3 linked regions of the Mus musculus genome follow. Each later gene encodes a partner of the first gene's protein in a complex. Links are inferred from orthologs where the notes say so. Each region holds a gene or a part of one and is shown on either strand. Other genes may lie near its edges.

Region 1 (3,661 bases):
GCACCACTCTCTGGGGTTGAAGGACATGTTTCAAGTTGCCTGTGCAGAGGCACCCATGGGCAGGGTGTGTGGCAGGCGGAGAGAGGCCCGGCTGCTGGTCCAGGGACCCTTTTGCTTCTCTCTTCCTGGGCAGAAAGGCAAGTTCACTATAAGAGGTGGGCACCACTCTCCTGAGCCCTGACTGCCTTCCACACAGGGCCTAAGAGAATGCTTTTGTTTTTGTTTGGTGTGTGTGTGTGTGTGTGTGTGTGTGTGTGTGTGTGTGTGTGCGCGCGCGCATGTGCGCTCAATTTTGCAGGAAGACTGGTGAGGTGAACAGTCAGCCCAGGGGTCCAAGCAGGGCATGAACACCCAGCAGGCAATGAGCGGCCAAGTGGGTGCAAAACTACAAGACCACACATACCATTTGACAATGACTCCAGTTCAGCCTACTTTTGGTGAAGTCCGGTTTCCTTTGGAGGAAGACTTCAGTGGATGTTTGAGCTGGGTACCTTGGAGACCCACATGGAAGGTTACCCTTGCTGTCCTGAGGGCTCTTGCAGGAACAAGGCTGGCATCTTGAACTCGTCATTGAGACATAAATAGAGCAAACCACCCCCAACTCCCCACCCCAAGACTTCTTGGACAGGCCAGCGCCTGGGCTGACCGGCCAGGCGGCTGGGCAGGTGGAGAGGCTCTCCTCCTCTCTGTGCCCCCATTGGTCTGAGGAGACTCCATGCCCTTTCTGAGCAGGGGCCCGGCCCAGGGAAAGCAATTTATACCCCTCCCCCTGGCCCACCAGCCCAACTCACTGCTGCCGGCCTGACCTCGCTCCCAGCACTGCTGCACAGCATCTAGGTGAGGCCCAGCCCATCTTCTTGAGGTGGGAGACTAGAGCACTACTCAGGCTGGCTCATAGGAGGACTTCCCCGGGCAGGGGCTTGGGGGTTTGGGGGTCTGCTGCCGACAGCTCTCTCTGAGGTCTCCCACAGATCTAGGGTTGAGAGCAACATGTGCTACTAGGATAGGACAGGGGTCTACAATGGGCCTCGGATAACAGGCCCTGTCTCTGGGGACACACAAGCAGGAAAATGTTCAGGTCAAGCAAGTAGGGACCTGAGCCCCCAGGCCACACAGAAGAACACTTTCTTCCGTGCATTCACTTCTCAAGCCAAAGGAGCAAGAGTTAAAAATAACAGGCTCACCCTGGCAGCCACCTGTGCTGGCCAGCCCCACCCCATCCCTCCCTCGGGGACAGCTGCAGCTCCTCAGGCCCCGCCCGGGACATTTTGGGAACACTTTCTCCTCTTACTTCTCATCTTCAGGGTGGGGGTGGGGGGTGATGTCCTCTGAGAAGGTCTGAGTTGCGGGTAGAGCAGAAGTAGCCTAGCAAGGCCAGGTCTCCATGCCTAGCCTCACGCAAGGCGGACACTGACACCATCACCTCTCTCCCCACAGGATCAGAGCTTGAGATCTCAGGATGGGAGAGTAAGTGATACCCAGGGTGACCCGTACTGCAGTCCCTCACCAGGGCTTGGGTCTCCTATCTCCCTGCCCTTTGTGGCTGCCGCCCAACCCTTCAACCCCATCAAACCCTAGGTTTCATGGCTACTCCTGTGAGCCACAGTCTAACTTCTCTTTTTTTCTCCCACTCCCACCTCCCTCTTCCTCCTGGGACAGTGAGGAGGTGAGTATCACTAGAGGCTATAATAGTCCCCTGAGGCTAGGACAGAAGACACCCCTGTCAAGGCCCCCAAGTGCCCCACCCCCTGAACTACCCCCAGAGAAAGAGAGGAAGTGCCTGCCTGGTGCTTTATGAGGCAAGGGAAGTAAGACTTGGGCCTAGTCACAAGGGAATCACTTCTCCTTTCTAATTTCTGTTCACCACTCACCTTCCGGGCCTCCCCTTGCCCACAGTCCCTGAGGCCTGGCTATATCCTGCCTCCTTATCCCCATTACCCCCTTCAGCCCTATGTACCACCTAAGCAAAGAGTCAGGACCACAGGCATGTGTCCCTGAAGCAGGCCCTGGACTAGGGAAAAACACCAGGGCCCTGGGCAGTGGCCTTGTTATCTCCTTGGGAACCCCAAGTCAGATGACTCTAAGCAGGTCAGAGCTCCAGCTAAGGCCTGACTCTGACCCCTCTGTCCTGTCCTGCAGAAGCGCAACAGGGCCATCACGGCCCGGAGACAGCACCTGAAGGTAAGGGTGGGCTGCTGCAGAGGCCTGTGGATATAGAGGTAGGGGTGGGAGTTCACTGCAGACCCTCACTCCCACCATTCTGTTTCTCAGAGTGTGATGCTCCAGATAGCGGCCACAGAGCTGGAGAAAGAGGAAAGCCGCCGAGAATCTGAGAAGGAGAACTACCTGTCAGAACACTGCCCGCCACTGCACATCCCAGGCTCCATGTCTGAAGTGCAGGTAGTTCCTTCCTGCCCCGTACCACCCAAGACCCTACTATCCCAACTCCTCAGCAGGTCAACCCTCCTGATCAGGACTGGGAGGGAACAATGATCCTCAGGTATCAGGGTGGCCACCCACCCACTGCTTGCCCACCCAGGAACTCTGCAAACAACTGCATGCGAAGATCGACGTGGCTGAAGAGGAGAAATATGACATGGAGGTGAAGGTGCAGAAGAGCAGCAAGGAGGTGAGAGGGAGGAGCCCGTGGTGAGGGGGTGGGGCATATGGCATGGGGAGGAGCCAATGGTGAGGGGGTGGGACATATTGCATGGGGTGGAGCCAGTGGCTTGCAGGGTAGCACAGGCGATATGAAGGTGGAACCAGCTGCTATGGGATGAAGCCAGGTGATGAGAAAGTAAGGCCAAAGATACAGGGCAAGATCAGGGACATGGAGGCTGTCAGGCTCCTAAACCTCCTGTTCCTTCCTCCCAGCTGGAAGACATGAACCAGAAGCTATTTGACCTGAGGGGCAAGTTCAAGAGGCCCCCACTTCGGAGGGTGCGTATGTCTGCCGACGCCATGCTGAAGGCGCTGCTGGGCTCTAAGCACAAGGTGTGCATGGACCTGAGGGCCAACCTGAAGCAGGTCAAGAAGGAAGACACTGAGAAGGTAGGTCAGGGCCCAGGGGAGAGCCAAGAGGGAGAGTCCACTTACAGTCCCTTTCATAGATAGTAAAGCAAGGCCAAGGGTAGTCTGGAGCAGACTGGAGTGGATCTGAGACCTCTCTGGTCCTACCCTCAGGAACGGGACCTGCGTGACGTGGGTGACTGGAGGAAGAATATTGAGGAGAAGTCTGGCATGGAGGGCCGGAAGAAAATGTTCGAGTCTGAGTCCTAACTGCCCACTTCCCCAGTACCACCCTAGCATTGGGGAAGCACCCAACATCCAGTCTGGGAGTACTTGGCCTCGCTCCAATAAAGGATTCACATCTCTTTCACAGTGTGGTCTAGTTCTGTCTCTGCCCACTCTGGAGTCCATCATCAGTGACCAGCAGTGTGGCAGGAGAGAGGCCATACTGCTTGGGTAGAATTCAAAGACCCTGGGCTGTATCCTGTAACTGGTGGGTGTGGTCAATGTCTGGACCTGTCTAACATGACAGAACGTGGAGAAAGATGACCATGGACTCCAACATATCTGAGTGGGAGTCTGGGATCAGCTTCTTTGTTCCTTGGTGCAGTCATTCACTCAGAATGGTTCTGGCAGGCACACCCCAAGGGAG
Region 2 (3,725 bases), on another chromosome or scaffold:
GAATTGGCAAGGCTTGCCCGGCGTGGTGGCGCATGCCTTTAATCCCAGCACTCGGGAGGCAGAGGCAGGCGGATTTCTGAGTTCAAGGCCAGCCTGGTCTACAAAGTGAGTTCCAGGACAGCCAGGGTTACACAGAGAAACCCTGTCTCAACCCCCCACCCCACCCCCCACCCCCCACCCCCCACCCCCGCAAAGAAAAAGAATTGTCAAGGCTGCGGCTCAGTGCTCAAGAGCACTTGCTGTTCTTCCAGAGGACCTTGGTTCAGTTCCTAGCACCCACGTGGTGGCTCCCAACCGTGGGATCTGGTGTCTCCTTCCGGCCTCTTTGGGCCCTAGGCATACACATGACGCACAGACATATGCGCAGACAGAACATCCATACACATTAAGAAAATTACGTTTTAAAAGAATCGCCAGGGCTGGGGGTGTAGCTCAGTGGGTAGAGTACTTTATAGCATGCACAAGGCTGAGGCTTGAATTCCCACCCAGCGCTATAATCTAGCATGCCTATAGTCTCAGTGACTTGGGAGACTAAAGCAAGAGGGTCACTTGAACCCAGGATTCGGAGGGCGGCTCACTTGACAGGGCAGACTCTTTTGCAAAATAAATCAAAGGAGTTAAACAGGGTTTGGTGGTACATGCCTGTAGATCGAAGCCCTCTGGAGGTGGAAGTAGGGGGATTAGAACCTCAAGGATAACGTCGGCTACATAAGGGGTTCAAGGCCGGTCTGCACTATATGAGCTCTGGCTTCCAAAGTGAGGGAAAGAATTCCTCTATGGACTGTATGGCTTCTGCTGTAGTCAGATGGGGATAATAATAGTTACCTTCATGGAATGAATAGTAGATGAGATCACGGAATCAAGATGCTCAGCGTAGTGTGGGCACAGGTTGTGGGAGTTCAATACATGGTGTCACTAGCTCAATGCTACGCATCACTTCCCCTAGGCACCCAGCACAAGCTAGGTGACTTAGTCATCTGGGCTCATGGTTGCCATTTCTATCTTGGAGGAAGGTGTGCCTTGAGGGCCCTCACCATCCGCCCACATTCCCGTGGCTCAGGGGGAGAACAGAGTCGGGAATGAATGAATTTTGGACGTCAAGCCTGGGCTCTTCCCATTCTGCTGTGCCCTCCTTCTGGACATCCTCCCCCATTTTGAAACACATGTGCTGGAGTGGGGTGGGGGGAGGAGCTCCCCTAAGACAGTGGAGCAGGGCGGGGCCCTCCTCCTAAGAATCCAGGAGAACGCCAGAGAGTGCCACCTGCTCCGAAGCTTAAATTTCCCTGCAAAGGACCTTGGCTAAATTAGGTAATGGGCTAGGACTCTAGGAGGGGAGGGGCTTGCTGCCCCCTGCATCTGATTGGTCAGGATATCCAGTTCTGGGGAGGAGGGAGGAGGGAAGAGAGGATGCCCCTACAAATCCTGGGGGCTAGAGAGATCTGGGGCACCTTTGGGTGGTGGAGTGCGGAGGAGACAACCCACAGCGGAGGAGTCCCAGTCGCCAGCAACCATGGTAAGGACAAGAAGGGTCTTCACACTTTTGTCCCCAGGCTACTTCTAGGCCCCTCTCTGTCCTAGAACTGTGTGTTCTGTGGGCAGGAATATGGACATCTGAAGGTGGAAGGGTTGCCAGAACTCAAGTCCCGAGGAGATGTCCTATAAAGGCTATGACTTCTCTTGGGTGGGGAAGGCTGGCCAGGATAGTTCAGGAATTAATCTTCAAGGTTTATGAGTTCCTGGCCACCTTGAGGTTTGGAACAGTGCTATTGTGCAGCCAGAGCTGTGTGGAAAGGTCTTAGCCTGTCTGCTTCCACGGAGAGATGGAGAGCACGAGGGCAGAAAAGTGACCCAGCAGGGCAGACACAGAGTAGGCTTCATAGGCTCAGCCAAGCCTGTGGCGACCCAAGAAGGAAGGCTTCCTCTAAGAATCCTGAGGAGGATGGTTAGTAGGGTGGGTACCCGGCCAGCGTTAGAGCCTCTGACCAGCCACAGAGGGGGTCTGATCTGGACCTGCCACTTTCTTCTGCGTACCCCTCCTACTTGACTTGAAGAAGTAATTGGACTCCAGAGACCAGCTGCCATTGCCCATGCCCAACTAAAAATAGCCTATCCTCCTGGATCAGGCCAAGGGCCGGAGGAGGGAAGGAGGAACTGGGCCAGCTGGCTGAAGGATGTCTTGGGACTCGTCACCCCTTCTTCACCATCCCGAGTCCAAAGCCCTGACCCAGATGGCCTGGCTTGGATGTGTCCCAGAGAAATTCACAGAAATCTTACTTACATGCTCACATGTGGCATGCCAGGCCAACCCGAGTGAGCTACATAGCAAGACTCTCTAAACACCAAAGCCAGAACGTTGAAATGGAACAAAGGGTTTTTATTTTCACACCAGGGCAAGGCTCCGTCACATTTGACATCAAGAGAGGTGTTTACGCCGATGACCGAGTGGGAAGTCTTGCCTCTGAGAACTGTCTGAGGCAAAGCTGCCCATCTCTTCTTGTGGTCTCAGCGTCCAAGCGCTTGGCAGATGTTCTGTGACTTTTGCATTCCGTTATTTAGTTGAGGACAAATATTCATTGACCAACTGGTCAAGTCCCAGGCAGCAATAGGAGACAGGGAAACTAAAAGATCACCAGTGAATGGCACTAACACACTCAAGCCCTCTCTCAATCCTGATTTCTTATTATCTCTACAAAGTCATAGGAAGAGTGACTTGCCAAAGGTCACTGTTGGGGTGGGGGTTCCCCGACTACTCTCTGAAGAAACTGTGGGTATAACCTGTGTCCCTTTGGCACTGGGGATGGGCACCAACGGGTACCTGGGAGGTACTGCTGGTTTGGAGTGGTTCTGGAGGACCCAGGGGCTCTTCCTAATACAAGAGGGGGCTAGGGAGGCTGAAGCTGGGGTGAGAGTCTGCCCTTCTACGCTCTGATTCTCTCTGCTTTCTACAGACGGACCAACAGGCTGAGGCCAGGTCCTACCTCAGCGAGGAGATGATCGCTGGTGAGTAGAGCTAGCCATTGGGAGAGATGCGGTGTGAGGCTGACAATCCAACTGGCCTCACCCATCGCTCCTCCTGTCTCCCCGCTAGAGTTCAAGGCTGCCTTTGACATGTTCGATGCTGATGGCGGTGGGGACATCAGCGTTAAAGAGTTGGGCACCGTGATGAGGATGCTAGGGCAGACACCCACCAAAGAGGAATTGGATGCCATCATCGAGGAGGTGGACGAGGATGGTGAGTTGGGCTCCTCCAGGGCAGGGGACCGGGAGGAGAGAGGCACAGGGCACCTTGGGCTAAGCAGGCCCCACATCTGCCAACCCCGATCCTTGCAGGCAGCGGTACTATCGACTTTGAAGAGTTCTTGGTCATGATGGTGCGCCAGATGAAAGAGGATGCGAAGGGGAAGAGCGAAGAGGAACTGGCTGAGTGCTTCCGCATCTTTGACAGGTGCGTGGGGCTTCCGGGATCCTGGACCTGAGAGCAGATGGAGCCCGTGGGCCTGAAGTGAAGAAGCAGGCTGGCCAGGGTGAGGTTGACCCTGTGTCCTTCTCTGTCCTTCCCTCCCAAAGGAACGCAGACGGCTACATTGATGCTGAGGAGCTAGCTGAGATTTTCCGGGCTTCTGGGGAGCATGTGACAGAAGAGGAGATCGAATCCCTGATGAAGGATGGTGATAAAAACAACGACGGCCGCATTGACTTTGATGGTGAGGGCCAGCTGGTGCTCT
Region 3 (3,725 bases), on another chromosome or scaffold:
TCAAGACAGGGTTTTTCTATGCAGCCCTAGCTGTCCTGGAACTCACTCTGTAGACTAGGTTGACCTCAAACTCAGAGATTCACTTGCCTCTATCTCCCGAGTGCTGGGATTAAAGGTGTGCGCCACCACTGCCCAGCTGAAACCACCCCTTCTCCTCTCTGCTTGGGCCAGGGTCAGAAGCCAAGCAAGTCCTCACTTGTCAAACATGCGGAAGAGATCCGACAGCTCCTCCTCAGACTTCCCTTTGCTGTCGTCCTTCATGCACCGAACCATCATGACAAGAAACTCATCGAAGTCCACTGTGCCACTGCCTGTGGGTAGGCAGCAGGGCCGGAGAGAGAACAGTTAGCATTCCAGCAATCCACGCCCCCCCCCCTCCTCCCCACACTATAGGGCTAGTGTGTTCCTTTGCCCACTCCTCTTGTTTGAGATAGAACCTTGCTCTGCAGTCCAAGATGGACTGGACCATAGAGAGCTATGTGACCCAATCAGACTGACTTCAAACTCACAGCAGATCTACTACCTCAGCCTTCTTGGAATCACAGTATGAGCTACTTGCCAAGTTTCTGGATGAGATGGTGAAGATATGGAGGGGAGGTAGCTCCTGGGCCAGTGAACCCAGGGTGCTACATACACGTGTGGAGACTGGAGTGGGTGAAGGGACTCACCATCCTCGTCTACTTCGTCAATCATCTCCTGCAGCTCCTCAGGTGTGGGGTTCTGGCCCAGCATCCTCATCACCTTGCCCAGCTCCTTGGTGCTGATGCAGCCATCCTCCGCGCCCAGGACAAAGATATCAAAGGCAGCCTTGAACTCTGGGTCCAACAGAGGGTGAGAAGATTGGATCAGCAGCCAGGAGGACACTAGGAATCCAGGTCCCTGGGGCCACCAGGAAATTGTCCACCTCCCTTCGAGAGTTCTTTGAGGTCACAGCAAGGAGAACCCTCAGATTATAGCCTCTAATCTGGGGTTCATTCCTGGAAAGGCGTCCCCCCTCTACGCCCCCCCAGCCCTGCTGTCCCCTCAATGGGAGACACTTACCATTCTTCTGCTCCTCTGTCAACTGTTCTACCTAGAGAGAAGAGGGGAACTCAGGACCTCAGGACCCAAGCTCAGGCCTTAGCAGACTTAGAGACTGACCCCATTCTACAGGTGGGAAGAATGATAACAGAAGGAGAATATATTCCCAGGTTACAAAGTCCTCCTTCCCTGCCCTAAGGTGACCCAGATGGTTTCTCAGAGGCTGGGCTAGGGCCAAGGTGACAGGCAGGCACCCCTCCCAGGACCAAGGTGTCCTGAGTGACAATAGTCATTGACCATTGCATGTCCTTTATGTCATCCTAATGAAACTTAAGCTGCATGGCCTGAGAGACAGCTGTCCCTCAGGTTGAGACAATAAAACGAATGTGGGGGCGAGCAAAGCCACCCACTGTAACCTGACCAGGGTGGCCACTGAGCTATTTTTAAAGGGGGACAAAGTTAAACCTGGTGATTGTTCTGGGGACTTTGGTATGCAGGGGGTGGGGTAGTGTTATCTGCCCCCCTGGCCTACTGGTGCTGCCTCAGGAGCCAAAATTAGTCCCCAGCCCCGCCAGGCCTTGTATGGGCACTGGGTGGAGGGCCACCCCCCTACTCCAGCTCCACAGACTCCTACAAGATAGCCAAGGATACCATAGGAACCAGCTGCAGCCCTTCCCTGCTCACAAGTGGGGCCATATTCCGGGGGTTGGGAGAGAATTTCCTGAGAACAGCTGTTTGCTAGGATTTTCTTGTCTCTGAAGCAGGTATATCAAAAGTCCCTCAGCGTCCCCAGGAAATCGAACAGTCTTAGGGTCACTGTTCTCTAACCCTGACTCTTATCACTCTCAACTCCTACCTAACCCCTGAGCCTGCCAGGGACTGAGGTTCCAACAAGCCATTCCTTCTTCCCTCCCTCTCCTCAGGCCTGTACCTTCAAAGCATCTTTCCCATCCCAGGACTCAAGTTCTCCAGCCCTCTCACAATTCCCTCCCACCTTCTAGAGCCTCCTCATCCAGCTCAGGGGCTAGAGGAGAGAGGCAGATCTGAGTATGTAAGAAGCAGATTGTGAGAAATGGAAGCTTGGGAGGGGGTGCGGGGCGCAGACCTGGAGACACACAGAGAGACAAAGACTCAGAGACATCGTGAGGAAGGAACAGAGATGGAAAGACCTTGTGAAAGACCAACAGATGTCTAAAGAATAAAAACACAAATACACTCAAGACAGTGACAGGTTAGAAACAGAGGGAGACACAGGATGCTGAAAGCTGAGACCATACCCCTAGCCACATTGACAAACCCCTGAATTGCTACCCTTTCTGCATCCCCCAAATGTCAGCTCAAGGGGCTGGGTTACAGGTGTGTGGGGACCCTTTTGAGTCCCCCATCACTTCCCTAGTGTACCCCTGTCCTCCATCCTTAGCTAAGGGAACCCCAATGGACCTACCCACCCTAACCCCTTAAAGATTCATCTCTCACCGCAGCTTTGTAGATGTCATCCATTCTGGCGACAGCTCACAGGACAGGCTACTGGGGTTGCCAGCCAGCCAGCCCTCTGCTTGGGCTTATATAGCCCTGCCTCCCTCCACCTCCTGCTACATTCCCAGCCCAGCCCACCACTGCCTGGAATATCCTCCACCCCCTCCCTGGTCCCTGTAATCTCAGGCTGGCCAAAGTCCCTGTATCATCTGCCTAGGGCCAGGAGCTATGAAGGACTGCAAGGACCAGGTCTCTTGCCATCTGTTCCCCAGACCCCACCCCACCCCCAGGGAAGTCTCAAGAAAAAAAAAAGAATGTATTGCTTTTATTTATGAGTGCATGTGGAAGTCAAAGGACAACTTGCAGGAGTCATCTATCTCTCTCTGCTACCTAGGTTCCCAGGAACCCAGGACTGAACTCAAGTTTTCAGGTTTGGGAGCAAGCACCTAAATGCAATACACACACACACACACACACACACACACACACACATCCTCAACAACCTCAGGAAAAAGTTTCCTGAATGAATGAAAATATGAGCACACAGGAAATGTGAAGTAAACAGTTCGGTCTTCTATGGAATCACAGTGACTTGCCTGAGGTCAAGCTGACCGGAGAATCCCTACCTTATATTACACCCCCTGAGAGATGGTAGCATGCCAACAGAGGCTGGCAGTGTAAGTCCTGCCAAGAAACACTTCCTATGCAAGGTTCAGAGTATAATATGACACTGGTAATGGAAGAAGTCACTGGCCCACAAAGAATAGGCTGGCCTGAAGCCCTTCAGCGGGATCTACCACGCCGCAACCTTCCATCTTTCAAGGACAACAATCAGTGTTCACTTCGGGTTTGAGTCAGCTGCATTCTGTGAGTCAACAAGTGTCCCTAAAGAACCCTATGTCTATCAGGATTCTCTCTTTTCCTCCTCCGGTTGGGTCATCTCTTCTCCAGCTAAGTCTTCCCTATGGTTGTTCCCTATGGATGTTTCTTCAGCCACGCTCTTGTGTCCAAGGCCTAGTCTGTCTCCTCCTCACCTTGAGCTCTTGCAGGATGTCATCTGGGAAACCAGATGGACAGCGCATATCTCTTCCATCCACCTGCACGTCTGCTGCATATAAGCTCTCCCTGAACACACCAGTGTGCCGCCTAGCACACTGCCAGGGGAAAGCCCGTGGGGTACTGAGCACTGCAGAATCACCACAATCAATTCTCCACCAGTACTTTTAACA

The links. The genes of interacting proteins can lie anywhere in the genome.
Region 2: the proteins of Tnni2 (region 1) and Tnnc2 are in contact, whole or in part, in a crystal structure (PDB 1A2X), measured with the Oryctolagus cuniculus proteins. The link is inferred for Mus musculus from reciprocal best matches to the Homo sapiens genes TNNI2 and TNNC2. Residues at the interface, in NP_001076252.1 of Oryctolagus cuniculus: Glu5, Asn8, Arg9, Ile11, Thr12, Arg14, Arg15, Gln16, His17, Leu18, Lys19, Ser20, Val21, Met22, Leu23, Ile25, Ala26, Glu29, Leu30, Glu33; in NP_001076114.1 of Oryctolagus cuniculus: Ser13, Glu15, Met16, Ala18, Glu19, Ala22, Lys91, Leu96, Glu98, Cys99, Arg101, Ile102, Phe103, Arg105, Ile119, Phe120, Ala122, Ser123, Glu125, His126, Val127, Glu131, Ser134, Leu135, Asp138, Phe152, Met155, Met156, Val159, Gln160.
Region 3: the proteins of Tnni2 (region 1) and Tnnc1 are in contact, whole or in part, in an NMR structure (PDB 2MKP), measured with the Homo sapiens proteins. The link is inferred for Mus musculus from reciprocal best matches to the Homo sapiens genes TNNI2 and TNNC1. Residues at the interface, in NP_001139301.1 of Homo sapiens: Arg116, Met117, Ser118, Ala119, Asp120, Ala121, Met122, Leu123, Ala125, Leu126, Leu127, Lys130, His131, Lys132; in NP_003271.1 of Homo sapiens: Asn18, Glu19, Phe20, Ala22, Ala23, Ile26, Val44, Met45, Met47, Leu48, Gln50, Pro52, Glu56, Phe77, Met80, Met81, Cys84, Met85, Lys86, Asp87.

What each region holds. Positions count from the first base shown.
Region 1 is NC_000073.6:142,441,032-142,444,692, forward strand, and holds Tnni2 (troponin I, fast skeletal muscle), read left to right. Parts: upstream 1-784; 5' UTR 785-837; intron 838-1,437; 5' UTR 1,438-1,459; coding exon 1,460-1,467; intron 1,468-1,659; coding exon 1,660-1,666; intron 1,667-2,139; coding exon 2,140-2,181; intron 2,182-2,271; coding exon 2,272-2,400; intron 2,401-2,539; coding exon 2,540-2,629; intron 2,630-2,874; coding exon 2,875-3,051; intron 3,052-3,183; coding exon 3,184-3,279; 3' UTR 3,280-3,379; downstream 3,380-3,661. UniProt on the Homo sapiens protein: Troponin I is the inhibitory subunit of troponin, the thin filament regulatory complex which confers calcium-sensitivity to striated muscle actomyosin ATPase activity.
Region 2 is NC_000068.7:164,777,451-164,781,175, reverse strand, and holds the start of Tnnc2 (troponin C, skeletal muscle), read left to right. Parts: upstream 1-1,441; 5' UTR 1,442-1,510; coding exon 1,511-1,513; intron 1,514-2,948; coding exon 2,949-3,000; intron 3,001-3,088; coding exon 3,089-3,232; intron 3,233-3,330; coding exon 3,331-3,445; intron 3,446-3,567; coding exon 3,568-3,704; intron 3,705-3,725. UniProt on the Homo sapiens protein: Troponin is the central regulatory protein of striated muscle contraction. Tn consists of three components: Tn-I which is the inhibitor of actomyosin ATPase, Tn-T which contains the binding site for tropomyosin and Tn-C.
Region 3 is NC_000080.6:31,207,150-31,210,874, reverse strand, and holds the start of Tnnc1 (troponin C, slow skeletal and cardiac muscles), read right to left. Parts: upstream 2,564-3,725; 5' UTR 2,521-2,563; coding exon 2,497-2,520; intron 1,073-2,496; coding exon 1,042-1,072; intron 816-1,041; coding exon 669-815; intron 312-668; coding exon 197-311; intron 1-196. UniProt on the Homo sapiens protein: Troponin is the central regulatory protein of striated muscle contraction. Tn consists of three components: Tn-I which is the inhibitor of actomyosin ATPase, Tn-T which contains the binding site for tropomyosin and Tn-C.